Tamandua tetradactyla: one gene and its partners. The protein of the gene in region 1 interacts with the protein of each later gene in a pairwise test. Links are inferred from orthologs where the notes say so. Each region holds a gene or a part of one and is shown in the gene's direction. Other genes may lie near its edges. The genes, in order: MOB3C, FAM118A and ZBTB10.

Evidence for each region.
Region 2: the proteins of MOB3C (region 1) and FAM118A interact in binary tests that used the Homo sapiens proteins (3 or more experiments, as listed by UniProt). The link is inferred for Tamandua tetradactyla from reciprocal best matches to the Homo sapiens genes MOB3C and FAM118A.
Region 3: the proteins of MOB3C (region 1) and ZBTB10 interact in binary tests that used the Homo sapiens proteins (3 or more experiments, as listed by UniProt). The link is inferred for Tamandua tetradactyla from reciprocal best matches to the Homo sapiens genes MOB3C and ZBTB10.

What each region holds. Positions count from the first base shown.
Region 1 is NC_135328.1:176,225,596-176,235,818, forward strand, and holds the start of MOB3C (MOB kinase activator 3C), read left to right. Parts: upstream 1-5,540; 5' UTR 5,541-5,752; intron 5,753-8,913; 5' UTR 8,914-8,934; coding exon 8,935-9,352; intron 9,353-10,223. UniProt on the Homo sapiens protein: May regulate the activity of kinases.
Region 2 is NC_135333.1:39,588,573-39,599,131, forward strand, and holds the start of FAM118A (protein FAM118A), read left to right. Parts: upstream 1-5,508; 5' UTR 5,509-5,698; intron 5,699-6,170; exon of another isoform or gene 6,171-6,372; intron 6,373-10,559.
Region 3 is NC_135332.1:124,290,759-124,301,075, forward strand, and holds the start of ZBTB10 (zinc finger and BTB domain-containing protein 10), read left to right. Parts: upstream 1-5,641; 5' UTR 5,642-5,675; coding exon 5,676-6,650; intron 6,651-10,317. UniProt on the Homo sapiens protein: May be involved in transcriptional regulation.

The sequences.
Region 1 (10,223 bases):
GATATCCAGTTCTCTAGGCACCATTTATTGAAGAGACTGTTCTGTCCCAGGTGAGTTGGCTTGACTGCCTTATCAAAGATCAAATGTCCATAGATGAGAGGGAGAAGACAACTACTTTTAAAAGTAAAGCAATTCCAAAATAATGAACAATAATTCCCAATGTTATTAAATATCCAATCAATATTCAAATGTCCCCAATTGTCTCATGAATGATGTTTTACAGTTGATTTGCTCACATCAGGATCCAAACAGGATCCACAACTTGCAATTGGTTATGTCTTTTGTCATATATTTTTAAATTTAAATTTACACATATAGAAGATGCAAAAATAGTACAGAGTTCCTGTGTACCCTGTTCCCAGCTTCACACATGATAACATTTTATATAACCACAGTGCAATTATCAAAATGAGGAAATTGACATTAATACAATGCAATTAATTAAACCTACAGAACTTACACAAATTTTACCCATTTTTTAAAGACTAATTTTTCTTTTTTTCCCTTTGGTTTATAGTTCTATGAATTTTTTTCACAATGTATAGATCTGTGTCATGGTCAGGTTCATGTGTCAACTTGGCCAGGTGGTGCTGCCCTGTTGTCTGCTCAGGCAAGTGCTGGCCTGTCCGTTGCTATGAGGACATTTCATGGAGTTAAATCATGACCACACTGGCGGCATCCACAGCTGAATGCATTTGCAATCAGCTAAGGGCAGTGTCTTCTGCAGTGAGTGATGCTTAAACTAATCACCAGAATACTATTAAGGAGGACTCAGAAGAGACGATCACTGTTCCTGCTTCAGCGAGCCAGTGTCTCCTGAGAGTTTGTTGAGGACCTTCATTGGAAGGTCAGCTCAATTGCCAGCTCATGGCCTGCCCTACAGACCTTGGACTCTACATCGCCACGGTTACATGAGACACTCTTATAAATTTTATATTTACAGATATCTCCTGTTGATTCTGTTTCTCTAGAAAACCCTATGTAATACAATCTGTATAACCACCACCACAATCAGGATACAGAACTGTGATCACCCAAGGAAACCCCCTCATGCAACCTTGTCGTGGGTGCAACCTTGTCGTGGGTGCATCCTCCTCCCAGCCCTAACACCCAGCAACCACTGCTCTGCTCTCCATCACTATAATTTTGTCATGTGGAAAGGTTATATAAATGGAATCATATAGATATAAAAATTTGATTGGATTTTTTTCACTCAGCATAATGGCCTTGATACTTATCCTAGTTGTTGTAAGTATCAACAGTTTGTTGGTTATAGTTCCTGAATAGTATTCAATTTTAAATCCCTGCAGGTTTCCCCTCCCTCTTTTATCTTCTTGTCATTTATTTGTTGCGAATTTATCTTGAAGAAACTTTCTCATTCTGAATTCTGCTGCCTTTATCCCTGTAGTATCATTTCATGTGTTCATGTATTCCCAGGACTTCCTGTAAGTGGTAGTTAGATTTTAAGCATTGGTCAGAATCAGACAGGCAAGGGCTCTGTGGCCACCACTCCATTCCCACTGGTAGCTTTGAGACAGGAGTTACTAAACACACTTGGAGAAACAAAGCTGTGGAGGAAGGATGAGAAGGCCATGGGGACTGGGGCAATCTGAGGAGGCTTCCTGTAAGAGAAAGGCTTTGAACAGCGGTAGTGATCCAGGCAGCACCTCAGGAGAGGAGGAGCAGATACGGCAGAACTTCCTGTGCCACCTTCTTAGAAAGTCCTATGAAGGGCCGAACTTGGGACACTAAATACTTACCCCCCTACTACCACCTCTGCTCCTGGGCACCCCGAGCTGAGCACTAACCCAAATGGTCAGAGAGCATGTGCCTGGGAAAGGGACACCACCCACCAGGGTGGGCCATATTGAGGATCAGGTCAGGGCGGCTGTGATACTGTCCTAAGGCACTTCTTTGTATACCAGGCTTCCACCACAGCCTCCAGATGTCTCCTTCCCAAGACAGAAGACCCTAAAGCTGAAGAGGTCTCCACCCCAAGGGTAGTGGGGAACCAGAAGAAAGGAGGACCTTGGAGCAGAGAGCATGGAGTCTGGAGATCTCTGAGCTGGGAAGGTGAGTACAACCATCCAGGCTGCAGGGTTGGACAGCATTGATGTACCGACTGTCTCCTCCTATGGTCCTGGATCTCTGCCCACTGCCCTCCAGGACCACGGAGAAGAAGTTCAAGCTCTCTTCTACACAAAAACCCACTGGGGGGTTGAAGGCAGCACCTCCAAAACAGACTGGCCACAGTCCTTGCTGCTTACAGGGGCTATCACATTTGATCATTATGGTTCTTCTGTGGGGCAGATGTTATTTCTATTTAAGAGAAGGGAATATATGTTCAGAGAGGGTAAGTACCTTCTTCAAGTCACACAGAATTTGAATGTACATCCTTTTCAACCTTGTCTTCCTCTGTCATATACCCTTAAGCCTGTCTTCTTCAAGTTAAAGGATGTTCCTTTTACTGCTATGTGGGTGTCTGTTGCTCCCTCCTCGACATCCGGGTTGGAAGATTCAAGATGGGAGATCCCACTTCCTGGACAGGGAGAGGCAGAAGCTGAAATAGGCATTTGTCCATAGGAAGGAGAGTAGGAGAGGGTTCAGCCCGATCAGTCTGTAGGAGCTTCCAGATGCCTGGTTAGAGGAGCTGGGAGCATGGTAGCTCATTCCTAGAGGGATCTGAGGATGGGTGGGGGCTTTCTTGGCATAAATGGGGCTGGGAGCCCCCCAGGGAGAGGCCACTCTGTTTCAGTGGAGCCACTGGGTACAGGCCCAGCATGGGCAGGGGCAGGATGCTGGCTCTGATAGTAAGGCTGGAAGATGCTTTCATGGTGCAGAGGAGACTAAGGCCCAGAGAGGGGCAGGGCTTTCCCAGAGACACACAGCTCAACAGTGACAGAATCAGAACAGGATCCCAGGTCACCTGGTCCTGGACAGCACCCCAGTGCAACTCAGAGCTCCCATATGCCTGGGTTATGCAGTAGAAGATGGTACATACCCTCCCAGGTCTTCACTGACTCCTGGCTGGACAGAACCTCCCTGCACACCTCCACACTCCCACCAAGCTTCAGAGATGTGGCCCTTGTTGGAGCCCCTAGGGAGTTACTAATATTCAGTCTTATGTAGATGCACAGTGCTGTAGGTTATAGGGTGTGTTAGAGAGTCAGGACTAACCCAAGGTCACACAGCTCATCAGAACCTTTTACTCCAAGGTCTGGGTTTCTTCCCAGCCCCAGCAGAACCTCCTGGAAGAACATGATCCTTCTAGCCCAGACTGAGAAGCAGCAGCAGGGCCAGATGTTTGAGAGATCCATCTCTGGCCATCCCCAACCCTTCTCCCTGCCTCCCATCCCGCCTTGCCACCCTGTCAGCTTACACTGAAGCATACATCTAGGGCTTCTGCAGATAGCCTGGAACTTCTGAAGTCCTTTTAAAATGGATCTATCTCTATTTCCCACCATGTAAGATTTTGTACTTTTCACCCTTTAGCAGGCAAACTTCTGCCTAGCCTACAAAATCCAGCTCAGATGTACAGAAACTCACCATGCACAAAGCCACAGAGGTCACATCAAATTACAAAGAATCTTGAAAACCATGATCTCTGACCACAATGCAATATAATTAGAAGTCCACGAAAAACATAAACCTCCCATATGTTGAGGAACTAAAAACATACTTCAAAATCATCCATGGGTTAAAGAGGAAATTACAATGAAATCATGAAATATTTAGAACCGAATGATAAGGAAAGCTTAAGCAGTTTCTAAGTCAATTTCTGTGAAGTCAGCTCCGACCCCAACTATGCCAAGTATCTTCTGTTGCCCCTCCAGATGCCCTTTCCACCCTCTGCCACCCTGCTTTATACCCCAGGGAGTCAACCTCTATGGGTTATGTCAACAAGTCACAGGATGTCTCGTTCCTGGCTTCTGCTAGGATTCAGTCAATGGAGTAACTGGGCTGGAGATGAGCCTGTGGGAGGTGAGGGAGGCTCTGATTTACTCCCAGGCTTTCCCTGTGATTGCTGTGGGCTGGGTGTGCTCCTCAATCTTAGGCCACAGCTCCTGTCAGTCAGCCCTGTTCTCATAGTTCTCTCTTTTTCCCCTCGCTCCTTCCATTTGGGGGTAACAGCTACACATTGCTGCTGCCAGCCCTTTGGTGGTACACTATCCATGTATACTCTTAAATAGTGTCTTCATGAAACACTCCTCAAAATACCCAGTTTGAATGGTCCATGTGTTCCCTGCAGAAAACCACTCTTTCTAAGTGCATCAGTCCACAGCCCTGTTCTCACTGCTGTATGACTGAGCTCTGACCTTGTGTGGCTTGTGTGTGTTGTCACCCCCCGCCAGTCTGTCAGCTCCTGAGGTCAGCAACTGGGTAAGCTTCATCCCCCAATTCCCTGCTAATCAGGCAACAGACTCATGCTTGATGGACGATATTGATTAGGATAGCGAATACATTTGAATTTGCCCCTTACACACTAGGACGTGCAAATGTTAGGTTATAGGGGATTAGGGGCAGAGTTAAGAAGCAAACATAAAAATACACAGAATTTTAGACTGGGGCAAAAATAGATGCTCAACAAAAGAATGGCTCCTCATTTCTCTTAGCTGGGATTTTTAAGGATCCAATGTGTCCTCATGCCAGCGAGTGAACAACAGGTCCAGACACAAAGGAAGAACAGCACGGCCATCTCCCAGTTCTCTCCTCCCCCACCCCCTCCCCCTCCCTTCTCACTTCCCCCCTTCCAGGGTGACTTCTCCCTCCCAGCCTGCAAGGCCGCCAGCCTTCCCTCCTATCCCATGATGCAGACATTCAACTAGTCCCTGGGCCTGGGGGCCACGTGTGCATTGAGGTATGTTATATCTGCCCTCAGGGGAGAAACCCATGTAGAAAAGTAGGGAGGAGGGATCATGTCTTGCAGGAGGGCAAGAAGGCATTCCAAAATGGGAACAACCAGGACAGAGGTCTGGAGGTGGGAAATGGTGTGACTTCAAGTGGAGAGTACCATCCACCCAGACTGATCAGGAACCCCAGCCCTGGCAGAGAAGGAGAAGTCTATGAACTGAGCAGTCTTAGGGGCCAATGCTGGGCCTTAGGGGCTCAGCTCACAATTCCTGAGTCATTCATTCATTCAGCAAATGAGAAATGTCTGCCGTCCTAGCCAGACACCCTGCCAGGAGCTGAAGATGGACAGGACAGACCCCATCCTTTCCATTGAGCTCAGGTACAAGTGAGACACATGATTCCAGAAGGATAAGGAAACCATTTGTCTAGCAGCTCTTTTGTTTCTGCCCTAGTCTGTCACTTCATGTCCCTGACGCACCACGAAGCTGGGCTTGTTCCCATTTTACAGTCGAGGAAGCTGAGGTTGCTTCTTTGGTAGAGGCCCAAGAAGACTACGAGAGGGCTCAGTCAGTCCTTTACCCAGCGGGAAGCTGGGAGCCCGATATGGACTTTCCGGAAAGGCGGGACTGAGCGTGGCTGTGTATTGGGGAGGGGGGGACCCCTTCCTCCGCCCCCTCCCCGCCCCTCGGCCGCGGCGTGGCGGGGTCGGGAGGGCCGGGGCGGAGCTGGCGTCGCCTTGGGGGCGGGAGAGCGACCGCCGGCCAGGCAGGACAGGCGAAGCCACAGGCGAGAGGACCCGCACCGGGAGGATCGGCAGACGGAGGGCGGCCCAGCACGCTGGGGATGTGACCCCCACGGCCGGAGCAGGACTCGACCTATCCCACCCAGGCGGAGCCCGCGAGTGAGCGCCCCGACCGCCCGCGTCCCCGCCGCGCGCCCGCCTTGCTTCCACTTTCATTTCCTGGGCTGCCCGGCGTGGCGCCGTCCAGAGGCGACCTGGGTTCGAAGGCAGGCGGGCCACAGTCCCGGGTCCGGGGTCTGAGGCTCACGACTCCGAAAGTTGGGGCTGGGGGCGCGTGGGGTGGGGCGGGGAGGCGGTGGCTGAGGGGGCGTGTCTTCGAGAGCGGAAATGTCAGGCTGGCTCCTCTGGGTCCTAAAACCTATCCTGCCCGACAGCTGGGCGGGGTCAGAGGAGGGGTGAGAGGGTCCAGGGGGAGGCAGAGTTCTGGCATGGGTGGCCGAGCGCCGCGGGAAAGACCATGGAGTCTCGGCTTCTTCTTGTCTCTTGTTCTCCTGTCAGCACGGCGCTCCCCACATCGTACAGCCTCAGGCTGGATTCTTGGTTCAAACTGGGGCTATGAACCTGCTGAGAATTTGGGTCAGGCCCGGAAAGTGGCAGGTGTGGCTCTGGCTAAAAGTCGGAACTAGGCAGGGCCGTCCTGCCTTCTTCCTTTGGGAAGCCCAGATGCGCACCAGAGAGAGTAGGCGCGGGTGAGGGCGCTCTGGGAGAGGGAGAGGGAGAGGGACTGGAGACAAGCTGCATGGATAGAAGGGCTCCTGCCCTGTGTCCAAACCCCCCTCCCTCCAAAAGCTCACATGTTCCTGGGGAGAAGACCTGTTTCAAGTTCACTGGTCAGTTACTGCGGGAGGGTGGGTGTATTGGAGAACAGGAAGTAGGTTGTTCCCTTTGGTGGAAAAGATGTTTCCCCTCCCCTCCCACTCCTCACCTCTCCCTATCTCTCTACCAGACCATCCCACAAAGAAAAATAAATAGTTCTTTACTCGGAGTGAGGGATTAAGCCTTGCCCCCTTGTCCCAAACCTGCCTGTAACTAGCTGTGTGACCTCAAGCTTTTCAGGTTCCCTCTCTGGGTCTCAGTTTCCCCAGAGACTGTACAAGAATGTACAAGAAGTGGGCTGGACTAGCTGATTTCTCAGGGCTATTTCCTACTCTAAGATTCTGGTTCTAAGTTTTCCTTAAAGCCTGAGCATTGACTATGTGCTGGGCCCTGACTTAGGCTCTGGAAGGGTGCTGGGGCAAGGACTTGGTGGGGGGCAGCAATGGTGAAAGAGTAGTCTCCAAACAAGGAGAAGCAGGACCGTGGGGCTGTGGGAGGAGGTAGCATTCAACCTGTCGTCAAGCAGAGAGACCAGTGTAAGAAAACACACAGCAGGAGAGTGTGGGATGCGTTCAGGGATCAGGAAGAAGCCCAGGGCAGTTAGCATAGGAAGATGGGACATGGGCCAGGAAAGGTGGGGTGAGGTGTCGAATGCCTGAGGATGGGTCTGTTTGTAACTGTAGAGGGGGCCACATGAATGTGGAGAGCCCAGAAACCCCCATCCAACTGCAGTGGGTGTGATTTGGGAAGCACCTGCCATAAAGCGGAATTTAGAATGGGAACAGCAAGTAAAGCAGGGACATAGGCTCCTCGTTGGTCGGGAAGCTCAGGTCCCACCCTGTAGACATCTTGGGTGAAAAGTCGAGGGGCTGAGAGATGGATACGATGGCACCTGTGGGTTTTTTTTAATTTCCGTGGGGACAAGATCCTGATGGGAGACGTGCCCTACCTTCCAGAATCCCCCTCATGTCACTTGATTGTCGCTCATTCTGGCCTGCTTGTTATGGGTACAAAGAAGGACATTTGTTCCAAACAGTTCCTCTGCCAGCTTGACTTCATGCCTGAAGTGACCCCCACCAATCCATGTGTTTGGTTACTCCCACTTTTCGCCCATTATTGCCTTAATTCCATCATCCCTTCCCCAATCCTGCCCCACCATCACCAGAGATGTGAGGAAGGAAGATGCTCCAGTGTCAACCAGTTGGCTGAGGCCAAGGTCAGGCCTTGTTGGTGGTGGTAATCAAGCCTCAGTCTAGGATAGGGTCTGTACCCAAACTGACCAGGGACAAGGTAAGGTCAGAGTTCAGCCTGGGGCCAGAGCCCAAAACTTAACCTGTAATCATTAGTGGCTAAATTCTAGTCTCAGCCCATAGCCTGGGTTTATATTTCCCAAGAGCTCACAAATTCACAGGGGAGATGAAATGACTATTCTGAGAGTCCCAGAAATCTGGCCTCTATCGGAGTGACCCAGGAGGTTGCATGGGCCAAATCCGTGCCTGCTACGGGGGTCACCCAGCAAGTCAGTGGTGGAGCTGGGATTAGATCACAGGAGTCCTGCCTCTGAGCCTGGGGCTCTGACTGCTGTCCTCAAAGTCTGTTCTGAGTCTGGGATCCTGAATTCTAAGAGGCAGAGCAGATTTGTTTGAGCTTTAGATGGGCCCAGGTGAGTGGATCCAACCACACTCTTACTACCACCCAGTGCCTGGCACATAGCAGATGCTCTTAGACTGTCTACTGAATGTCAGGTGCAATGGAAGGGGCCAGAGCCTGGCTCAGGTTTGGGGCTGGAGGAGGCTGGCTTGGAGGGAAGGATTTCTAGCCACTGTCAGAAGAAACAGTGCCCTCGGAGACCTGCCACCGTCCCCTTTCCTCCAGCCCCTGCAGCCACCTGGAAGCCGTCCAGCTGGCTGCATCAAGGCCCCTTCCTCTTTCAGGGTTAAAAAAAGGAAAGGACATTTTTGGTAGAAATGTCCGTCCTGCTCCCTGGGAATCCCCGGTGGCCAGATGGACTACGGGATATCCCAGAGGAAGTTGAAGGCAGGGGCAGGGGGGCCTCCCCCATGCACAATGCAGCCAGGCTCTCCCACGCTGTACCAGCTGGCCTATAATGGGCTCCCAGAGGTCATTTTGTCCGGGCCCCTGCCTCCCAGCAGGACTGCAAGGAGCCTCTGTGACCTCTCTGATGGTCAAAAAGTCTGATGAGCACCTGCTAGGAGCCCAGGCCCAGCTCTCTCTGAGACATGATAACAGCAGAGGGGAAACAAAACAAGACGGGGAGGGGTTGTGACTTGGCAGGGGTGAGAGTGGTGAGGCCCATCAAGATGCCAGGGGAGGGTGCAGCGGTGGACTGAATACTCTCGGGTGACAGGGAAATGACGTGTTGGAAAGTCAAAGCCATTTGGTAAGGTCCTGACCACTCTGTAACTTCTCCTTGTCCCTGGCAGGACATCCCCAGGGCCGTGGCCATGGCCCTGTGCCTGAAGCAGGTGTTCTCCAAGGACAAGACATTCCGGCCACGGAAGCGCTTCGAGCCGGGCACAGAGCGCTTTGAGCTGTACAAGAAAGCCCAGGCCTCACTCAAGTCCGGCCTGGACCTGCGCAGCGTGGTGAGGCTGCCGCCCGGTGAGAACATCGAAGACTGGATTGCTGTGCATGTGGTGGATTTCTTCAACCGCATCAACCTCATCTACGGCACCATGGCTGAGCGCTGTAGCGAGACCAGCTGTCCCGTCATGGCCGGCGGGCCCCGCTACGAGTACCGCTGGCAGGATGAGCGCCAGTACCGGCGGCCCGCCAAGCTCTCGGCGCCCCGCTACATGGCGTTGCTCATGGACTGGATTGAGGGGCTCATCAACGACGAGGACGTGTTCCCCACACGCGTGGGTGAGCGCCACCCGACAGCCGGGTCAGGCCAGGCCAGGTTGGGAGGGAGCCACCAGGAGCCCATTTTGCAGATGAGGCATTTCATTTGATGCAGCCTCTGTGTGACAGGGACATGGTTTTCATTCCCATTTTGTAGAAGAGGAAAAGTGAGGCTCAGAGAGGTTAAATGTCTTGTTCAGAGTTAGGCATCTTATGCTAGGACTGCCTGGCTTCCAGTTTGGGGTTCTCCTTGCCTGAAGCTTGAGTGTCCGTCCCTCCAGAGACCACCCCAGTTGGGCCACAGACACTGATTCTCAGAATCCTCCAGGCCACAGGGCACCAGAAGAGGTCCATGGCAGGTCCCCCCTGCTTGGGCTGATCTGACCTCCCACCTCCTGAGACGTCCCTCCTACTCTGGGCCTCAGGAAAGGAAACGAGGTGGGAAGTGGGCAGGCCCAGATACTATTTCTGCCTCAGATTGGGGCTCTGAGAGCACAATTTTTCTTTGTCAGACCCAGGCTACAGGGGCCTTTTCTTATCTCAGCAGGGCAGCCTGGGCGGGTGAGGATGGGGGGAAGTGGGGAGTGATGTCAGCCTTGCCCTACTTCCCCAGCCAAGGGCAGCAGGAGGCAGGGGTGTCAGCCGATGAGCTGAGCAGGCATGACTCCGTTTTCATCACAGCAGCCCCACCTGTACCCTGGGCCCCACCACCACCCGCACTCATGCTGATCCCTATGGAGGCTATGGGAAGGACTGGAAGCAGAGATGGGTGGGGTGGGGTGGCCAAGCCCAGAGGGGAGAAGTCTGAATGTCAAGAGAAGCTCTGGGTACTGAGTCACAATTAAGTGTCTGTAACTCCTCCCCAGCCAGGCAGTGGCCTGCCATATCCTGC
Region 2 (10,559 bases), on another chromosome or scaffold:
TCCAAAGGTTGCTGGCTGGTGGACTCTGCTTCTTGTGGCTATGTCGCTCTGCTTTGCTCTCTCTGAATCTCCCATTCTCCAAAATGTTTCCTCTTTTATAGAACTTCAGAAACTAATCAAGATCCACCCAAATGGGTGGAGACATGCCTCTACCTAATCCAGTTTAACAACCACTCTTGATTAAATCTCATCTCCAGGGAGATGATCTGATTACAGTTTCAAACATACAATACTGAATAGGGATTAGAAGAAATGGCTGCCTTTACAAAATGGGATTAGGATTAAAACATGGCTTTTCAAGGGGACATACATCCTTTCAAACCAGCACAATCCCCAAGGGAAGCAGAGAGGGCACAACCTCTGCAAGGTCTGCCATTGTTAAAAACTCATGCAAGATGCAGGAAGATGGCAGAGTAGGGTAGGCTGATTTCACTCCTGCTCCGTGGGAAAACAAGAGAAGGGAAGGAAAAGACGACAGGGACTGCAACCCAGGGGGTGACTGATCAAGGAGGGTCTTCAGCATTCTATAGGGAGGTCCTGGTAGAGAGAGGAAAGGGGGTCGGGATGGGGAGAACAAGGCGAATCTGTTAGTTTGTGACCCCACCAGGGGCAGGTGGCAGCACATGGGGAAGTGCAGATCCAAGGAAAAAGACTGTCCCTCCCTATAGGATACCAATCTCCAATCTAGCCTGTGCCAGCAGCTGGCTGGGGAGAACTCCCTGCGTAACCTTGAAGCTGGCTGTACCTGTAGGGAGCCCAGGGGCATGCCAGCCACCCACAGGAGTGGCCATCCTGTCAGGAGCTACAGGCGGCAGATCTGCCAGATGTTGTGATCAACTGCCCTGTCCCCAGTGCTGGGACCAGCTGTCCTGCCGTGCATGCCATCCTGCCCAGCTGGCCATTCCAGGTGAGCCTGAGGGGAGGAGGAGGACGTGGCTCAAGAGCACCATCTTCTAGGAAGAAGTAGTCAGTGCAGTCTGGCAAACTCCCTATCTGCCTAGGTTTGTCTTTTTATTTAATTTTTATTTTATTTTATTTCTTAAAATTATTTTTATTTCTATTTCATTATTTATTTGTTTTCTTTCTTTTCTGTGGGCATACATCTGAGTTCATACCCAGTATATCTTGGGGTGTCTCCTTCTAGATTCAGGGACTACTATTGCTGAGGTTTTTTTTTTCTTTTTGGGTGCATGGACCAGGACTTATGCCCGGGTCACCCGCATGGTGGGCGGGCGCTCTGCTGCCGAAATACCCATGCACTCCTGCCCAGCTTTTAAAAGACCCTTAAGTAGAATTACATCCCCTATATGGGATCCAGGCTTTGCTTTAATGGGGAATTACTGACAAACCAACTGCAAAATGGGACCTTTAATGCAAACCCAAGTAAATTCAAATCTTTAGACAAAGGAAGGAAACCAACTTGCAAAACGTTATTAAGATAATCAAACTTTCTGAACACTACAGAAAATCACATGCATGCTCATTCTGTAGGCTTGGATACTTCCCACCCCCCCTTTGAAAAGCAGGTCTTACAGGTGGCTTGAGCCCCCTTCCTATACAAGCTGCTTCCCACATTTGGTGTCATAGGTGAAAGAAGTAGAGTCCAGCCCTCTTTCCAGCAGCATGATTCATGGAGGTCCCAGGAGATTGGAGCTTCCAGCTTATAAGAGGCCTTAATCACAGCTCCTGATACAAAAGCTAAAGGGACCAAACTGATCTAAGGAAGATGAGCAAACCTTCTTGGGGACCCAAGAGTAAGTGAACAAATGAATAATCATTCTACCCATTTGCTGGGTCTGGACTCAGCTTCTGGGGTGGCACTTTCTAATTGCCCCAGAGAGTATTAGCACCCTCTCTACTTCCTGGAAGACTCTGCATTGGGCAAAGCAGGCAGGCTTTCTGAAGCTAAAGAGGCAGACAGGTCTGACTGACCTACCTACTGGCCAAGGGACCGCAGGCAAATTCCCTGGCCTCTTGGAGTCTCAGTTTCCTCATTTCTAAAATAGCAACTCTATTAGTGTTCTGTGGCTGCTATAACAAATTACTACAGACAGGGGGGCTTAAAACAACAAAAATGTATCCTCTCACAGTTCTGGAGGTCAGAAATCTGAAATTAAAAAATAGTAGTATACACATACAAGCACACATATGACTTCCATTTGCACATCTCTCAGGGCAGCCCCCATTGATGCCATCACGGCCACCTGCAACACAGAGAGGACTCGCATCTGGGCCCTGTATTTGAGGTGCCAAGCCTTGCCATGTCACATGCATACAGTCAATCCTTTGCCCATTGCACACTGAATAAGACATGCTTACCTGGATGGGCGGGATAGGCGCCTCTGCTTCCCATGACACCTTGCCAACTAGCCCTGCCCATCCCTTATCTACTCTGGGGATGGTCAAGGTGGCTTGGTAGCAGTGCCCCACTCAGTCCTTTTCCAGGACCCAGGGCACCTACATCTCTCTTGAGTACAGGGGAGGGGAAGGGTTAGGGGAGTTTGTTCCTAAGGCATCCCCTCCTGCTGGCCTTGTCTTTGCAAGGCAGTGATTTGGGGTGCAGGGGCTGAGACCTGCAGGCTGTGTTTTGGATGGGGCCGACTTGGCTGGAGGGTTTCAGGCATAGCCTACCCTGTGCATAGATTTCTTGGATTCCACCACCCCAGGAACTTCAAGGATGTCTGCCCCAGGGCCGCCTACACCCAGGGTCTGGCCTCCGCCAGCACTCAGCCCAGAGTCCGGTTCTCAAGCCCATGCCACCTCTCTCAGGTCCTGGTCCCCTGCACCCGGAAGTAGCTCATGAGCTGCCCTGCACTGTGTTCCATCCTGTGACCATGGAGGAGGAGCTGAATGGAGAGAGGATGGTGACACATGCGGGAGATGGGGTGCGCAGATGCCTGGGCAACCTCAAGGGGCTTCAGCATCCCTGTCTGTTCAACTGGAATGAGAACGAGGGTGGTGCCCTCACAGGCTTGTTCCAAGATGCAGATGAAGGAGCACATGCAAAGCGCTTTGGCAGGCGCTGCCATGCACAGAAACCCACAGCTGCCTCACCACTTGGTGTTATGGACTCTGGGCCCCCAAACTTCACAAGCTGCTAAAACTCAGAAGACCCATGTGGATGACAAGTTCAGGCTTTCTCTGTGGGCCGGGGGATGTTAACAGCCAACTTGAACACTAGACAGGAAAAAATATACAGAGAGAGGAAGTAAGAATTAAATGTGGCTTGGCCAGGGTGTGGGTGGGTGTGTGGATCTGGGAAGGACGGGAAGGGGAAGTAGCTTCTGAGCCCATCGGTTCTTATTCAGAGAAGAGAAAGACTTCCAGTGGCAGAGAAGGACTTGGATAGGGGGACATACGAGTCATAAGAATAGCAGGGGACACTAATCCTGTGCATGCTCCTCTGCCAAGCCTGCCCATGTGTGACCTTACTTAGTCCTCTCAATCACCCCGAGAGGCAGGTACTGCTAGCACCATGGTTTTACAGGCAGAAACTGGGGTGCAGATGGATGAGAAGACACAGCCCTCAGGTGGTAGACCAGGCTCCAGACCCAAGCAAGTGTCCTGCTCAGCCTCCTGGGAAGTGTATTTCTTTCCTTTTCTTTTTTATTGAGGTTTTATATATATACACAACATAACCTTTCTCATTTTACAATCCAACTACCAGCATACGATGTGTTGGCATTAATTTCCATTCATGATGTTGTGCTATCCTCACGATCATCTATCACCAAAATGTTTCCATCACCCCAAATAGAAATTCTGGACCCATGAAGCATTAACCCTCACCCCTCATAACCTGTAATCTACTTTCTAACTTTATGTATTTGTCTATTTTAGTTATTTCATATAAATGAGATAATACAATATCTGTCCTTTCGCATCTGGCTTTATTTCACTCAATGTAATGTCTTCAATGTTCATCCATGTTGTCACATTGTTCCAGTTTGCTAGCTGCCGGAATGCAACACACCAGAGACAGATTGGCTTTTAATAAAAGGGGATTTATTTCATTAGTTCTTCAGAGGAAAGGCAGCTAACTTTCAACTGAGGTTCTTTGTTATACAGGAAGGCACAAACTGATCTCTGCTGGCCTTCTCTCCAGGCCTCTGAGTTCCAACAACTTTTCCCGGGGTAATTTCTTTCACATCTCCAAAGGCCTGGGCTGAGCTGCGCGTGCTGAGATGAGGTATGCTGAACTGCTTGGCCTGTGCTACATTGTGCTCTCTCATTTAAGCACCAGCCAATTAAGTCAAACCATCATTCATTGCAGCAGGCACGCCTCCTAGCCAACTGCAGATACAATCAGCAACAGATGAGGTTCATGTACCATTGGCTCATGTCCACAGCAACAGAACTAGGTGCCTTCACCTGGTCAAGTTGACAACTGAATCTAACTACCACCCACATGTTTCAGAATTCCATTCCTTTTTTATGCCTGAATAATATTCCATTGTATGGCTATACCACATTTTGCTTTTGCTTTCATTGGTTGATAGATACTTGGGTTTCTTTGAGCTTTTCACAATTGTGAATAATGCCCTGTGAAGATTGGTGGGAAAATTTCTGCTCAAGTCCCTCCTTTCAATTTTTCTGGATATGCAACTAGAAGTGGGATTGCTGGATCCTATGGCAATTCTATACTCAACTTTCTGAGGAAGTGCAAAATTGTTTTCCACGATTTTACATGTCCATGAGCACAAGCATTTCTATTTTTCTACATCCTCTCCAATGCTTGCTATTTTCTGTTTTCAAAATAATAGCCATTGAAGTGGGTGCGAAGTTGTATCTCATTCTGGCTTTGATTTGCATTTCTCTAATGGCTGATGATATTGGGCATCTTTTCCTGTGCTTACAGCCATTTGTATGTCTTCTGTGCAGAAATGTCTACTTAAGTTCTATTCCCATTGTTAAACTGAATTGTTTGTATTTTTGTTGTTGAGTTGTAGGAGTTCTTTATATACTCTGGATATTAAGCCCTTATCAGATATATGGTTCCCAAGTATTTTCTCCTGTTCTGTGGGTTGAAAACGTATTTCTTGATGAAAGAATAGCACAAGAAAGATTACTCATGCCCAAGCATTTGGGCATCGATCGTGTGCCCAGGGCTGTGCCAGCTCTGGGGGTCCAGGGGTGAACAACGCAGACAATGTTCGGGCCTCAAGGAGCCTCCGTTCCAGTGGGAAGTGACAGTGATCAAGGGACGGAATTCCGGATAGCGACAATGGCCACTGAGCTACCGGCGGCTTCGGCAAGCAGGGACCCGTGGCCCGCCGGAGCCTGCGTGATCTGCGGGCCGCAGCTGCCAGGGCCCTCGATCCTGCTCAACGCTGAGCAGGGCCCGGCAGAGCGCGCCCGCCCCCCCCCCGCCTTTTGCACATGCAAAAGAGAGACGCAGGAACGAGCGCAGGTGGCCTCAGGCCCCGCCCCCTCCTCAGAGAGGCGGGGCGAGGGGCCCGGGACCACGATAAGCCGTTGGTTTCCAGGCGGAACTTTCGCGCGGCGACCGAGAGCCCCCGGAGGAAGGCTTTGCGGCGGCGCCGCGGCGGGCAAACGTGGAGGCGAGGCTGAACGCGGTACCAGTCGGGCTCGGGCTGCGCCTCCCGCTCTCGCCGCTGGTGCGCGCGCAGACGTCGTCAGCCGCCGAGGAGGGGAGGCGGGCGTGCGAGCAGAGACCAGCGACTTGGATTCGCCGCAGGTAAGGGGCCCGGGTCGGGGGAGGCCGGGGTTCCTGGCCGAGAGCCCTCAGGACCCTTCCTCTCCCAAGACCCTTCTTGGGTCCCCACCGCTTTGGAGTCCTGACAGCCTTCAGGACCCTCGGACCCCGAAACCCTCCACGATTGTCCCTAGACTCGTAGACTCCCTGAGGACGTCCAGCCGCCTCAGGGCCCCGAGACCCCGACAAGATTCACTGAGGACCCCCGAGCCCTGAGACCGCTGAAGATTTTACCCCACCCGGTCCCGAGCCCTCATAATCCCCTTTTCCATGGGACTACTTCCTCCCCCCAGGATGCCCTACCCGCAGACCCCCTTCCTGACCCCCACCCTGCAGGGACCCTGGCCCCGGAGACTCCACCCCCTTCCCGGAGGAGGACCCCGGCCCCTTCTCTCCTTGCCCCTGGGAAGTCCCTGGAGCGCCTTCACCAACCTTTGGACTTGTTGGCCCGCAGCTGTCGACCACCGACCCTGAGGCTTAGCAGTCTGCCTTGGCTTCCCCTCCGCGCCCAACTCTAGGGCAAGGGTTCTCACACTTGAGGTCGCTGGACCTGTGCGGTGTCCAGGGAGTTCCCTGGGTTTGTGAATCCTTAGCGATAATATAAAAGAAGTGCAAGCATATAACAGGTCACCCGGATGTCCACGTTCTTCTAACAGGTACTGGCTGTGATTTCAGTGTCTGTGTATTTACATGTGTCCATACTATTGAAACCAGAGTAGGGACAGTGTGTAACTTTTACTGCTCTTTGGTTAGACTCATATGGTGACAGAGAGCAGTCTAGAGGGAGAGGACAGGAGATTTGGATGTGGTAGTGGGAGGCAGAACCAAGTTGCTGAAGGGGTCAGGGCAAACCAGGATGCTTTCAGGTTGTGTCCATGCAGGTCTTGAGGTTGTCGTTCTTAGAGCCAACGTTTTTCTGAACACCAGTTGGCTCCAGGAATTAGCACTGAAGATGGAGATGGCATAGTCCCTGCTCTCTGGGCTTAGTTGGAGGGGAGTGGGGCGAGTAGGTTGGACAAGAGGTGGTTTGTAAGGCAATAACAATATAGTGGCATTAAAGCCAGCAGGGTGGGGGGTGGGATTCTCAGGAAGGGGTCGTGTTAGGAAGGCTTTCTAGGAGGGAAAGAGATAATAGGTAACAGGAAAACTGACTATTGGAGGTAGAGCTTGAGGACAAGTTTGCCAGGGCCACCTCAGGCAAAGGCAGAGAGGCATGCCAAAGCCCATCAGGTTTTGGAATTGGGAAAAATGTGGCTGGAGCATAGAGAAATCCTGGGGGATGGCTGGAGATGTGTTGTTTCCCTGATGAAGATCAAACCCAACTTTCTAAGGCTGGTATGAGAGGGAATTGTTTCCTGAAGCCCCCACCCCCACCCCGTGCCGTTGGTGCTTTCTAGAGTTACCACTTTTACTCCTATGCCCCAAGTCACTGAAGATCCCAGCTGAGACTGAAAGAAGATGGTGGGTCAGTGGAAAGGAGCGAGGAAATGAGTAGACTAGAATGGGAGAATCTGGGAAATTGGGCCGAGTGTTGGATCCGAAAGGGGTGTGCCCAGCACAGAGGCTGGACCCACCAGATGGAACCGAATTATATGAGCTTCTGAAGCCACGTAGAGGATTGATTTGAAGAAGGGAGTGGGAGGCCATTAAAAGGTATAACTATGAGTAGGAGTGGTGTGTGTGTTTGAAGAAGTGCTCTCACTATTTGGGGGAAGCAGGGCCACATGTGAATAGTGTAGGGAACCTGGCCCAGGTGGTGGCAGTGGGGACCATGACTTCCACAAGCATAGCTAAGCTTACAGTCCAGACCCAAAAGACGTGCTCATTCCTGTCTGAGCCTACAGTTTCCTGCCTGGAAATTGACGTAGGTACTTTGTACTTCCTTTTAGGCGAGGTCTTTGTATTTCTCACCTCGGGGCTCAGAGCCTTTGTGCCTTATCAGCTGAGTGTCTGTGTCACAGGGAGCCAGACATCCCACAGGAGATGCACATGCAGCACAGCTGGGTGCGGTGAACAGAGGCTGGTTCCCAGTGATGTGACCTGATCAGGAAGGGTTTGGATGCTGGATGCCAGTATCCTGCAGGAAAGGGAAAGCTGCTGAAGCTGAGGAGAGACAAGTTTAGATGTGCTGCATTAGAAATATCACTCTGGAGACCGTGTGGGATTAGAGGGGCTGAAACTGAAGGCAGTGGGTTTTAGGAGGCCAGACAAGAAGCTGTGAGGGCTTTAAGGCAGTGGCAGAGAGTGTGGATCAGAAGACATTTGGAAGGAAAATCTACAGGATTTCTGTTTGGGTGAGGGAGAAGAGACTCTAGCGTAGCGCTGTGCAGTACAGCTTTCTGTGATGCTGAACATGTTTTGTGACTGCCTCACCACCCCACCACAGGGACTTTGAACACTGAGAACCTGACTAGTGTTACTAAGAACTGAATTTTAAATTTTATTTAATTTTAATGAATGAAATCCAGTTAGGACATGCCCTTGCGGGTCCAGGCTTGTACTTAAATGTTACCCCATCTGAACACTTCCAGCAACCCTGGGAGGTGAAAGTATTGTTCTTTTTAAAATATTCTTATTGATAAATCTTCACACACGAACATTCCATACATGGTGTATAATCAGTGGCTCGCAATATCATCACATAGTTGTGTATTCATCACCATGATCATTTTTTAGAACATTTACATCACTCCAGAAAAAGAAGTAAAAAGAAAAAACTCATACATATCGTAACCCTTACCCTGCCCCCTCATTGACTACTAGTATCTTTGTCTACCCACTTTATTTTACCCTTTGTCCCCTCTATTATTTGGTTATATTTTATCCATTTTTTTTACTCATAAAAGGAGCAACAGACACAAGGTTTTCACAATCATGCAGTCATGTTGTAAAAGTTATATCGGAAGGCATTGTTCTTATCTTACAGGTAAAGGCAGTGGAGGCTCAGAAAGAGTAAATTATGTGCCCAGGTTTTAAGTGGTGAACACAGACTTGTGCCCAGTCGGTTTAGCTTCTCAGGCTGCTCATTTCACTATATCTGTGTTCCTTTCCCCAGGAGCCAGGGGCCATCTGGGTGGTGGTGATGTTTCCCCTGCAAGGCCTGCCTTATCTGCTCCCTGTAAAGTTAACTGGGACAGTTGTGTGATAAGCAAGCACAGACCAAAAAGAAAACTGTTTTGCGCTGGTCATTTGGCCTGAGGCTTCTTCCTGCCTTTAGGCTTCCTAAAGGTGGCCATTTCTCTTTGCAGTTTTGGAGAACTAGTTGGGTAAGAGAGAAGGTGGACCTGCAGGTCAGCCAAAGAGATGTAAACGAGTGTCTAAGCTGAATTTTGAACTCCCACTTGCCAGGTAGTGACTGGTGTGGTGGAGGGTGGGGCACGAGCCTGGAGTTAGTTTATAGCTCACTCCTAGCCCTTGGGGAGCCTAGACTAAGTCACGTTGCCTCCTAGGGTCTCAGTTTCCACTTCTACCAAATTAGGGTATTTGGCACTGTATAACCTCAAGATCCTTTCAGATCTAAAATTCTGTGATTGTAAGTTTCCTCATGGGTTGCTTCCTGGAATTTCTCCTGTTCCTCTCAGGGTGGATACATGCTGGTGGGTCAGCATGCTGTTGGCCTCTGTTTTGGTGTTTCACCATTATTAGCTTATCATTAAGTGACATGTTTATTTGAGTTGGGTGACACGTCACATCTGATGGGCAAAGCTTTAACAATGGCAAGGTCTGCAGGAAAATATCAGGTATGTTTATTTGCCATTCTGAGCAGCCTCGATGTTAGGAACAGTGCAGGACTATATACTATGATTGTCAAGCTTTTAAAGGTTCATATTAAATGCCTAACCCTTGGTGTAAAATGAGAGGTGATTATAGTATATTTCTTAGTGTTGCAGAGGGGATTAAAAGAGATAACTCATGGAAGTACTTAGCACTTTCCCTCAAATATAATGAGGGCTCAAAAAGGTGGCAGTAATTAATACTGCCTTTGAACTGAAATATGTCCTTTACATTTTTATTAGCGTTGGGTTTTATTGTTTCCTTATTTTGGGCATATATGCCCAGGCAACTGTTCAGAGGCACTGGTTTCAAGAAGCCAATTAATGCATTTTGATCATTAAGAAACAAGCAATTTCTGGTAATAATTCATTTCAGGTGTGTAAAAAGTGATCCTCTAAGTAGTATTATTCAAATTAAGGTTTTGCTTTTTTGTATGTTGAAAAAAAGCAGCTCATCCTGAAGATCCCTTTTTAGCAATGACTGAGCTTCAGTTGTACCACATGTGGTTAAATTAACATGGACTTGTCGTGATGCCTTGAGAAAGCCATGTTCACTGTAAAGCCCACTAATGGTAAGAGAGACCAGCTGGGTGCTGAGGCAGCTTGTAACTAATAGACAGACATTTTATTATGAGTTTCACATGTTAGTCTCATTTAACTCTGTGGTGGAATTCCCTTTTAGCAGATTTGGAAACTGAGGTTCAGAGAGGTCTCCTGACTAGGCCAGTGGTGGACTCACCTTGGCTCTGGAGCCTGTGTTTTCTCAGCCACATCCCCAGGTGCTGCTTCCCCGAGCTGGGAGTCTTGTTTCGGTTTCAGGGCTAAGCGTCTCTGTAGTTCTAAAAGTTTAATTTTTGTCCCTTTGTCCCTTGTTTCCAGTTCAGATGAACTAAGTCATGCTAATTAAATTCATGAGAGACACATCCATTAACCAGATCCCAGATTATTTGTGGTTGGAAACAGAACTGCCAGATCTACTTCAAAGCTTATTCTTTCTTCCCAGAGATTTCCCCTCATGCCTCGTAGCCCCGAGTCTACATTGGGAGCTCATTGCTACGGAGAAGGCTGCT
Region 3 (10,317 bases), on another chromosome or scaffold:
TTTGTGGGCTCTGCAGGCATTTAAAAAGTGTTTTGATATGTAGAACAGAAAATAATTGAAACCTTGATAAGATTTTAAGCATGAGAGAGGGGATCAGGAATCATGAGTGCAGGTGGGGGTGATAGGATCAGATCTGCATTTTGAAAAGATTATTGGCTGTCCTGTAGACAATGGATTGGAGGGCAGGGCCAGAATGTCTGGCATATTGTGACAGATGCTTCCCTGAAATAGGCATGTAAACTTAAGCTTTTGTAAAATAATGTTTAAAGGAACTGGAGTTTTCTAAGAAGAGAAACATCATGGTTTTTATCTTTTGAAATGCGTTTATTTTCAGGTGGCAAATTTGGTTCACAATAAATGGAAAAAGAAGAATGAATAGTATTCTTCCCCACAAGGGGAAAAAAAAACATGTCATTGATGATCAAAGTTCATTGTTACCATCTTTCTCCCCAAATGAAAACAGCTTTATTGATTTTCTTTGATTATATACTCAATATATAATTCAAACACTATTGTACTCTATAACAGTTCAAAAACGTATTAAGAAAGTTTCTTAAAAACTGAAATACTCTGTTACTGACATAATTATTGCTCCTATTCTGATGAACTTTCTTTTAAATTCCTTTCCATGCCTGTATTCACATATGGACTTATGTATCTGCTTTAGGGACTATAAGCTTCTCTCTCTCTCATTTATATATTTATATGTGATCTTATCTAATCACTGGTATATATTTTTTTATATGCAGTTCTCTGATTACTGGCCAAGTCAGCACATCTTTTCATGTTTACCAGTCACTTTATTTCTTATTTGAATTTCTAATACACATCCTTGGTGCATTTTCTTCTTTTGCTACATTTCTTTTTCTTATTGATTTAAGAGCCCTTTGTGTATTATTACTATTAAGCCTTTCTCCTATGAAAATGTTTGAACAAGAAAAAAAAAGTTAAAAATTCAGTATAACCTGTAATTGTGTAGACATAACATTGTTAAGTGCATCCTCTGTACTTCAGTAGCTAAGGGTAACTGAAGATTGGAGGATATTGTTAGCAATCTTACAAACTTTACATCTACTTCTGCCCCATCTGATCACCATGAGCAGGTTATTAACGTTTTTGTACTTGGTTTTCTCAGTTGTTAAATAAGGAAAATATCTTCCTGTTTCAGTGATGGTAGCAAAATAGTGTAAATGAAATTAACACTGCTGAATTATATACTTGAAAGTAGTTAAAATGGGAAATTTTATGTTGTATACAGGTTAACACTACAAAAGTTTTAAAAAAACACAGAACTGTACAACACAAAGAATGAATCCTAATGTAAACTATAAACTTCAGTTAATAACATAATAATAACGTTTCACCATATGTAACAAACGTACTACACTAATGTGAAATGTTAATGGGGAAAACTGCTTGTACGGGAGGTGGTTATATGGGAACTCCACTTCCTGTGTAACTTTTTCATTAACTTTTCTGCTACCAAAAAAAAAATCCACCATGATTTAACTCACAAGGAGGTTGTGTAAGCTGAATTTTTGTAATCTACTGTAAACTGCACAGTAAACAGCACTAATAATACAGTAAGATATTTATATTCAACTATATGATTATCATTGCTTTTAATGTAAATGCAATGGAAACATTAGCTTGATACCTTTAAAGATTTTTTTTTTTACTTAACTGAAATAAAACAGAAGAAAATGTTGCTTGCCAAAACAGTTTGCAAGGGAAGGTATAGCAAATTGTTCAATAAATATTTACTAATTGTCTACTACTACATGGCAGGCTGGGGATGGCAGTGGGTAGGGTAAGGCATGTATTGAGTGTACAATGCATGGTCCCTATCCTCAAGTACTTCATTTTGGTGGATGACCCATGTGAATTCTACACACATCTGAAGAAGCCAAGTGTTTGTAGCAAGCTTCATCTACTCAGGCAGTTACAGACAGTCACGCTCAACTATGAAAGATGAACTGAATCAGGTATAGGACATTGGCCCCATCGCACAGTTAAGGTGGGCTGGTATCAGTTTTACATTCTCAAATGAAATCTGGGGACAAATTGGTTGGGGATGCCCCATTCTTGAGGGGTTCCCCTGGTAAGAATAAGGGGGAATTCCCTTAAATATGGTAGAACCCCAACAGCAAATACAGGATTTAGAGTATAGAACAGATCCCTGCTTGCTAGTAGGAGACTAGAAGGTGTGGGGGAATTTAAAAAAACTCCATTTACAGAGTAGGAGATCCCCTTTTGCTACTTAAAGTTCCCTTGGTATAGGGTATTCTGTGAGATTGCCATTACTATCCCTGTGATCTTTGGTTCTGATTCGATCTTCCCTCAGGGTTTAGAGAAGAAAACTCATACACATGCACACACATAAATATATAAACCCATATACATATATATACATATACATACAACACTGTTTGGCTGTTAAATAGTTCATTGGTCCTAGATTTCCACAATTTTAGGCCATTTGTTTATACCATTTGAAACTGGTGTCATTCTTTCCTAATTAGTCCAAGCTTAAACCTAATTCCAGACAGAAGACAATGGGGATCTTATAAAATATAAGACAAGATAAATGTCTGGGAAATTTATCACTCCTGATACAATTAGCAGCATTATGGATTCAAAACATTTTTGGTGATTCTGGAACTAACAGAAAGAACAAATAATACAAATAGCCTAAACTTACAAAATATGTATTAGGCATAAAAGATGAATAGATGTAAAGATTTGAACTTAACCGTTTTATAACGGATATAAACTTTAATGTTGAAGAAAAATTCTTAAATCCATTTTCAGTTCCTAACACTTCCTCAAACCTAGATAGGTAATTAACTTCAGTAATTTTTCCCTTTTTACAGGGGAGAGGGTTGTTATGGTTAAAATATAATAGATAATCCATTTCCATGCAAAGTGCCTGGAATTATAAAACAAAACAAGTGACTGAAGGACAAAGCATGATATTATTCGTTCCTGTATTACATGGAAGCACATATTACATACAGTCAAGTGGATATAATCTCACAACTGCAGGTCACAAACTGGGTCAAGGTCACAGGTTCCACTGTCGTAAACTTTCATATAAATAAAACAAAGCAAGACAAAACAACCAACCACAAAACGTACCACCCTGAGGACCTTTTATAATTTCATGCTCTTGATTACCAGTGGCCAGCAGACAACGTGGATGGCTCAGATGAGTGCTATGTGATCATTCTGGGAAAACAACTCAAAGCCAAAATCTTTGTATGGCAGGTTAGTAATGCTATTCTTTTTATTTTTTTAGTGTTAATCTTTACATTACAATTACGTTTACTCTATAAGGTAGAACTTATGTTTTTTTGTTTGATCTACAACACTGCTCATTTATAAAGATGCTAAAAGTACAGTGAATTAGGTGGGTTCTGCTTTGAATACATCTATGCAATCACTAATATTCATGAGTTTGGATGTGAATGCCTGTGTTTAGCCCATTAAAGAATATTAATATAAATGGTAGTTCATAATATATTTGGGAAAATTTTTAATTAATCTTCTAAAACACATATTTCACAGCACATAGTCAAAGTCTTTAAAAGACAATATACAATATTGTTATTTTTAAAATGGAAAAAGAATAATAAATATATGCTTATGTTCTTGAAATCAAGAAACATAAAACTAGAAGGCCTAAAAACTGTAACATAAGCTCTGTTTAAAACACATAACTTTAAGTGAACAATGTAGAAATTTTACAGCCCCAAGAACAGCCCCTCCCACTAGATACAACTGTAAAGAGTTCATAAGTATTCCTCAGTTTTTTCTATGCACACCTTAATGTACTACTATTACTAAATTTAAAAATATACCTTACTATATAAACATGATTTTTCATCCTCAACAATGTATCCTGGATGCATTTTAGTTTTTCTATTCAACTTTTAATAAATATATTCTTAAAAGAGTAAAAAGCCCCTCCATAGTTTGAGAACATCTTTTTTTTACCTGAAAGGTTTGAAAAAAAAAATTAAGACATTTCACGTTGTAAAATAGTAAAAGGAGCCTAAATACTTGAACATTTACTAAATTTAGCATAGTAAGGAATTTAAAAAATTCCAGCTCAATCTGTTCTTTTAGGGTCTCTAAATTCCACATGCAATGTAAACAGTTAAAAAACAAAAAACACCAAAACTCTTAAAAGTTCATTCTTGTCTTAAAACACCATCTTCCGAGCTGCAAAAGTCCGTATAAGCAGACTCCTCCCCGCTCCTGGGGAAAACCCTGCCTAATATTTATAACGTTATGACATACTGTAATACTCACAAGGTGGTTGTAGAAGTATAAACACGACTAGAGTTATCTGATTGGCTGCTGGTGATGTAACACCCATGTCAATACTTCCCAGTGAACGCACGTGTTCGACCTTTTATTTAAATTTCCATTTCATCACAGCAATAAGACACTCGGGGCGGTGCATTTTCTGTGAAATGATTACAGCCTTGGGCCCGAGGTGCCGCCTCGCACACACAATGCATCAGAGAAGGAGGTGTCCATGGTTGCAACCTCCTCGCGTGAAAGGCACTCCTTGGTCCAGTCTTTGTGAAGGAACAAAATAAGTTCACTTCCTTGGGCACCACCACCCACCCCCCGAGCAAATGACAAGGCTGGAGCGCAGCGCCCACCGCACAATTATTTCCAAAGTCCCAGGTGAACTCGTGGCGAGAGAAGGAAAATGTGCGTCCCGGGCGCGGGTAGGTGCGTGTGGGCAGCGGGGAGGTGGCCAGACCCTGACACTCGCCAGCTGTTTGTCCACCGCGTAGCCCGCCCCGGCCGCACACGCCCGCCCCCTCCCCGAGACGAGACCCCCAGTCTGCCGCCCGGCCTTTTGTCCCCCGCGCGTCCGCCGACTTCCTTCCCCGCGGCCGCACCCCCGCCCCCAGGCCAGAGGCGCGGTCCAGCCCCTTTCCCGGTCCCCTGGCGCCCCCACCCCACCCCGGCCCAGCCCCAAGCCCAGCCCCCTCCCCCAGCCCGGCCCCCACCCTTTCCCCCTCCAGCGGTTACTGCTACCCCGGTGCATTGTGGGCTCACGGTCCGTTGTTCATTTGCCATTCGACCTCCGCCGGGGCCTGGTCGGACGGAAACGCTCCGCCGGCTTTATTGTCGGTTCGTTATGTGGCGGAGCCCAGCAGTTTAACGTGCCTCTTGCTCTCAGCTCCTCGGAAGCCGGCGGCGGCGTTGGGACCCCTCGGCGCGCCGGAGGAAGGATATCTGTTTTGGAGGGTCTGTGTGTGCGTGGGGATTTAAAGCGGGGGCAGCGGAGGGTCCCCCCTCACTCCGCCTCTCAACTTCGAAGGCCCCACGCGCCCCCGGCTAGCTCCTCACCTCCGCCGTCCGCCTCCCTTCTCCGCGCGGGACGCTGCGCCGAGCGCAGCAGGGCGGAGGTGGAGGACAAGGAGAGCGGCCGGAGGCGGCGGCCCGGCGGGCGGCGGCGGTGGCGGACTCGTGAGGCAGCCCCGGGAGCGAGAGCCAGCCAGCCGGGCGGGAGGGCGAGGCCGGGCCCCAGCCCCGCGAGACCCGAACGCCGGGGGCGGGGCGGGGGCGAAGCGGAGGGGGAGCTGCGGGGAGCGCGCGGGACGCGGCCCGAGGCCGGGCGCGAGCCGGGGCACCGGGCGGCGGCGCGCGCCATGTCGTTCAGTGAAATGAACCGCAGGACGCTGGCGTTCCGAGGAGGCGGGTTGGTCACCGCCAGCGGCGGCGGCAGTAGCAGTGGCTCCACGAACAATAACGCTGGCGGGGAGGCCTCGGCTTGGCCTCACCAGCCCCAGCCGCGACAGCCCCAGCCGCCAGCGCCTCAGCAGCTCAATGGGCGGGGGGCCGACGAGGAAGTGGAATTGGAGGGCCTGGAGCCCCAAGACCTGGAGGCCTCCGCCGGGGCGGCCGCCGCCACCGAGGAAACCAAGGAGTTGCTGCTCCCCCAAGACGCGGGCGGCCCCACCACGCTGGGCGGCGGTGGCGCGGGGGGCCCCCTGCTAGCGGAAAGGAACCGTCGGACTCTGGCCTTCCGAGGAGGCGGCGGCGGGGGTCTCGGCAACAATGGCAGCAGCCGCGGCCGCCCCGATACCTCGGCTTGGCCCCTGAGGCATTTCAACGGACGAGGGCCGGCGACTGTGGAACTCGAGCTGGACGCGCTGGAGGGGAAGGAGTTGATGCAGGACGGCGCGTCCCTGAGCGACAGCACCGAGGACGAGGAGGAGGGGGCGAGCCTGGGCGATGGCAGCGGGGCGGAAGGCGGCAGCTGCAGCAGCAGCAGGCGGTCGGGCGGCGATGGCGGGGACGAAGCGGAGGGCAGCGGTGTGGGAGCTGGCGAAGGGGAGACTGTCCAGCACTTCCCGCTCGCGCGGCCCAAGTCCCTAATGCAGAAGCTGCATTGCTCCTTCCAGAACTCCTGGCTCAAAGACTTTCCTTGGCTGCGGTATTCCAAGGATACTGGCCTTATGTCTTGCGGGTGGTGCCAAAAGACCCCTGAGGACGGGGGAAGCGGGGATCCTCCCCAAGTGGGGCATGACGAGCTTTCCCGAGGGACCCGCAACTACAAGAAAACCCTTCTGCTGAGGCACCACGTTTCTACCGAGCACAAACTCAATGAAGCCAACGCCCAGGTACCGTATATCCTGCTCTTACTTTTTCAGATCTCTAGGTAAAGGCTCATCAGCTAAAAACTCCATTTTCCTGGGTAAAGACGTCGTTCCATTTGGAAGAGATGCAGGGAGCTTAAGCGAGGGGGTGGGGAGGGGGGAGTTGAAAAAGCCTGGGAACAAGTTTTCAAAAGTTGTGTCTGTGGAGGGGGAACGGGCGGATGGTGGATGGCAATTTTCTAATCGTAACGCACGATTTATTTCTCCTGATTTTTGTATGACTCCGATTTCTTTGCTGTCTCTTCAGATTGAATGGAAAGAAAGTTTAAGAAAGTTGAGATTGTTGTTTTTAACCTAAAAGATTGACTTTGCGGTCAACAATTTATTAGCTGTGATTTTAGAGAAGCTGCCTTATGTTCAGTCTTTTAAGATTATATGTTGGTGGAAGTCAAATCGGGCAGCTTGCTGAAGAATGCAACACTTTCCTGAACCGTTGACTTTAACCCTTTCAGGAAAATATCCAACCGAAAAAAATTCTAACAGGTCAGGATAACGTTGATATGAGAGCACTGTGATGTGGAGGAAGTTATTTTGGAAAACGCTCCTTGCTCTTGTGAATAGTTTAATTAAAACCATCTCTGTTGAATTTCCTGGGGGAGGGGGGGGGCTTGCTGTTGTTAAACTAAAGCACTTTTATGTTGTCTCCATCTACCTGGATTTTTTTGTGCTGTGAGATTTTCTATAGCTCACCTTTTCAAAAAGTTGCTTATAAATGCAGTTTACGTTAAGTATTTTAAACTTAGCATTTAGAACGGTTTTAAGTGAAGTTACTTGTATCCATAGTTGATTTAGACTGATAGAATTTACCCACACTTCTTGAATAGTTAAGTCCTTAGTAATAAGTAAAGTAAGCTGTTCTTTAATTCTTAGGCTGTGTTTTAACATTTCAAGTTGAAAGATAGTTACCTAGTCTTATCATTTTGATATCACTTTTCAAAGCAGACAGATCTTGATCAGTCCTCAGATTTTAGGCAATCCATAATGGTAGGTGGAATTCATTCTTTCGTATTGGTAGGTAGTCAGATAGTCAGTTGGCTTTAGAAAACCCTTTCGGGTATTAGTCCTTCAGTGTTTTCTGAGTGATCTTGCCATTCAGCACACTTATACTGAAGTTAATTAGGCACCGTCCAATCGCATGGCACAAAAGTTTTTCAGAAGTTAGGCTTTACCTTTTAAAACATAGGGTTATATTTCCCAGTAGATAATGTAGCTTAGTTTTTGCACAAATTTCAGTTGCCTAAGCCCTAGAAGAAAGATCACCTTTATAATGCCCAGAAAGGTTAAGTAACATTGTCCTTACTTGTAGGGTCCTTGGGAATAACTGAGAGGAGAGCCAACAAGCAATAGTTTAACTGAAAAAGAATGAGTTTTAAAGTACATGTGGGTTCGGTCTCAGCTTTCTGCAATTACTAGACTTGCAAGCTTGGGCAGAATGGAATGAAATAGACTTAACATTTCCTTGTCTTCTGTGTGCCAGGCATGCATTTATTAACCTTACTCTGTAAGGTATTTTTTATTCCCATTTTACAGAAGAGGAATCTGAGGCCTTAAAGGTTAAGTAATTTATTCTTGCAGTTATTTAGTAAGATGGCAGATGTGGGGATTTGTGAAATCAAAAAGTTTACTTTTCCAAATAATGGTAGTTTATTTACAAAATTTTAAAAAGGCAATTAGAATGCATTTTCTTAATCTGTAGTGGAACCAGTTACTCCTTATCAGCATAGCCTCTCCCTGTGGGCAAACCTGAATGGAAATGCAAATTATAATTAGATAGCTGTTTAGTGAACCTGAAATCAAAGAAAGGGGAATCAGTTAGATAACCGTGAGGTAAATTTAACGTGATGTGTCCTACGGGCTTGTACTGGCATCGGGAAACTCAGTCCTAGGTGAAGCCTTTTCAAAACTTAATCTCTGAACTATCCCTCCTTTCCCCCTTTTATCCTTCAGACTCCCCTTTTTGTAGATAAATCTATAGGCCATCTTCTTTCTCTTAGGACATTCTTTCATTGGATTGAGGACAATACGGTTTCCTCATTGTTTGTCTAAGGCATGTAAGTCATGTTTGTCTAAGTATATATTGGTCCCCTGGTTAGATTTTGCATGTTTTCACTTGGAATTAATCTTATTCATATATATAGTAATCTTCCTAATTTCAGTCTAAATAAATTTAGGGATATTTTACAGATATCTTGCCATTGGCTCCAGGTACAATTTACGTATCTCTTTGTCTTATCACTGATAGGTTCATGAAATCTCTCCATTTCTTCCAGTGGGCAGAGTTCTGTCAGATGTCGCTGCCCTGTAGACTTTGATTACCAGTAGGAGGCAGTGTGACACAGTCTGTAAGAGCATTCTTGGGCTTAAGGTCAGGTGGATCTGGGTCCTAATTTTACTGTACTTTCCTTACTGTAAGGATTAATTTTTGCAGAGTATATATATGCCAGCACATAGTCCCCTAGTAAAATGATAGCCATTTTTTATTTTCATAACCTGTTTTTTGCAAGTATCAGTAATGAAGTGTTTGTGGCCTGGTACCTTCTGTCTCACTGTCACCAATTTTGTCAGTTTGGAAGCCACTTTCTGTCACGGAATTCTTCTCGATTGTAGAGAGCAAACTTACTCTTCTTATAGCTTCAGAGACTTTCACCATCAGATTCCTTAAACATCCTGAGACATCTTCAAAGAAGCATCTTCTTTGAAAAGCATTAGGCCAAATCTTTGTGTGTTATTAAAGGTTGCTTTTATTTATGCTTTCTGTAATGAAAAGCCCATTTTCATTGTTTCCTTGGTTGTGATCAGAATTGTAGCATGTTCTTAAAAAGTTAATTCTGTTAATTGCATTTTGGATGCTAAGGGCTTTACTCACAGGAAAGTTTTAAAACATGCTATCTGAATTTATGTTCTGGGGTTTTCACTTCCAAGTTATCCCTTTATTCTTTATAAGGACAGAAGTAATCTAGTTCTTACTTTGGATAACAATTGACTATATCTCAGAGTCAAGTTCAATGATTAACTCATTCTGGGTTTAACCATAAGGCTCAGAGGAGTTTAAAATTGTTTTCAGTAACAGTGATTACTACTGTATCTTGCTTCATGCCACCTTCTACCCAATTGTGCAATTTTCATAGCCTAAGCCACTCATTCTATCAACTCCAGTTTTCTAAGCCTAAAACATGCACTCACCCATCTTATTATGTAAATTTAGTAAACATTTCAGAAATTCAGAATTTAGGCTAGTGATTTGTGTAAAATATATATGGATGCCAACAGTTGGAGCAAAGGTGAAGCAGAGATAACCAGCCTTCTTTGTATTTTGCAAAAATAAGGCCCAACAAAATTGTTTTTAACAATTTAGGAAGAAAGTTGGAAAGACCTTTCACCAAGAAGCAGAAATAGATATTAAAGATGACTCTATGGACCATTAACATTGTGTAATTCTTGTTATTTATATAGGTTATAACATTCACTCATTTTATGAGATTCAGTAAGGGATGGTTCATTTCCCTTGTGTTTTTCAAGTTGTAGGAAAATGATATGTTTTATTAGCTCTTATAGTATAATATGATTGGCTTCTTTCTTGCTCTTTAATTTACCTATGAAAGGTACATGCATGGCACTGGAGATAAAGACC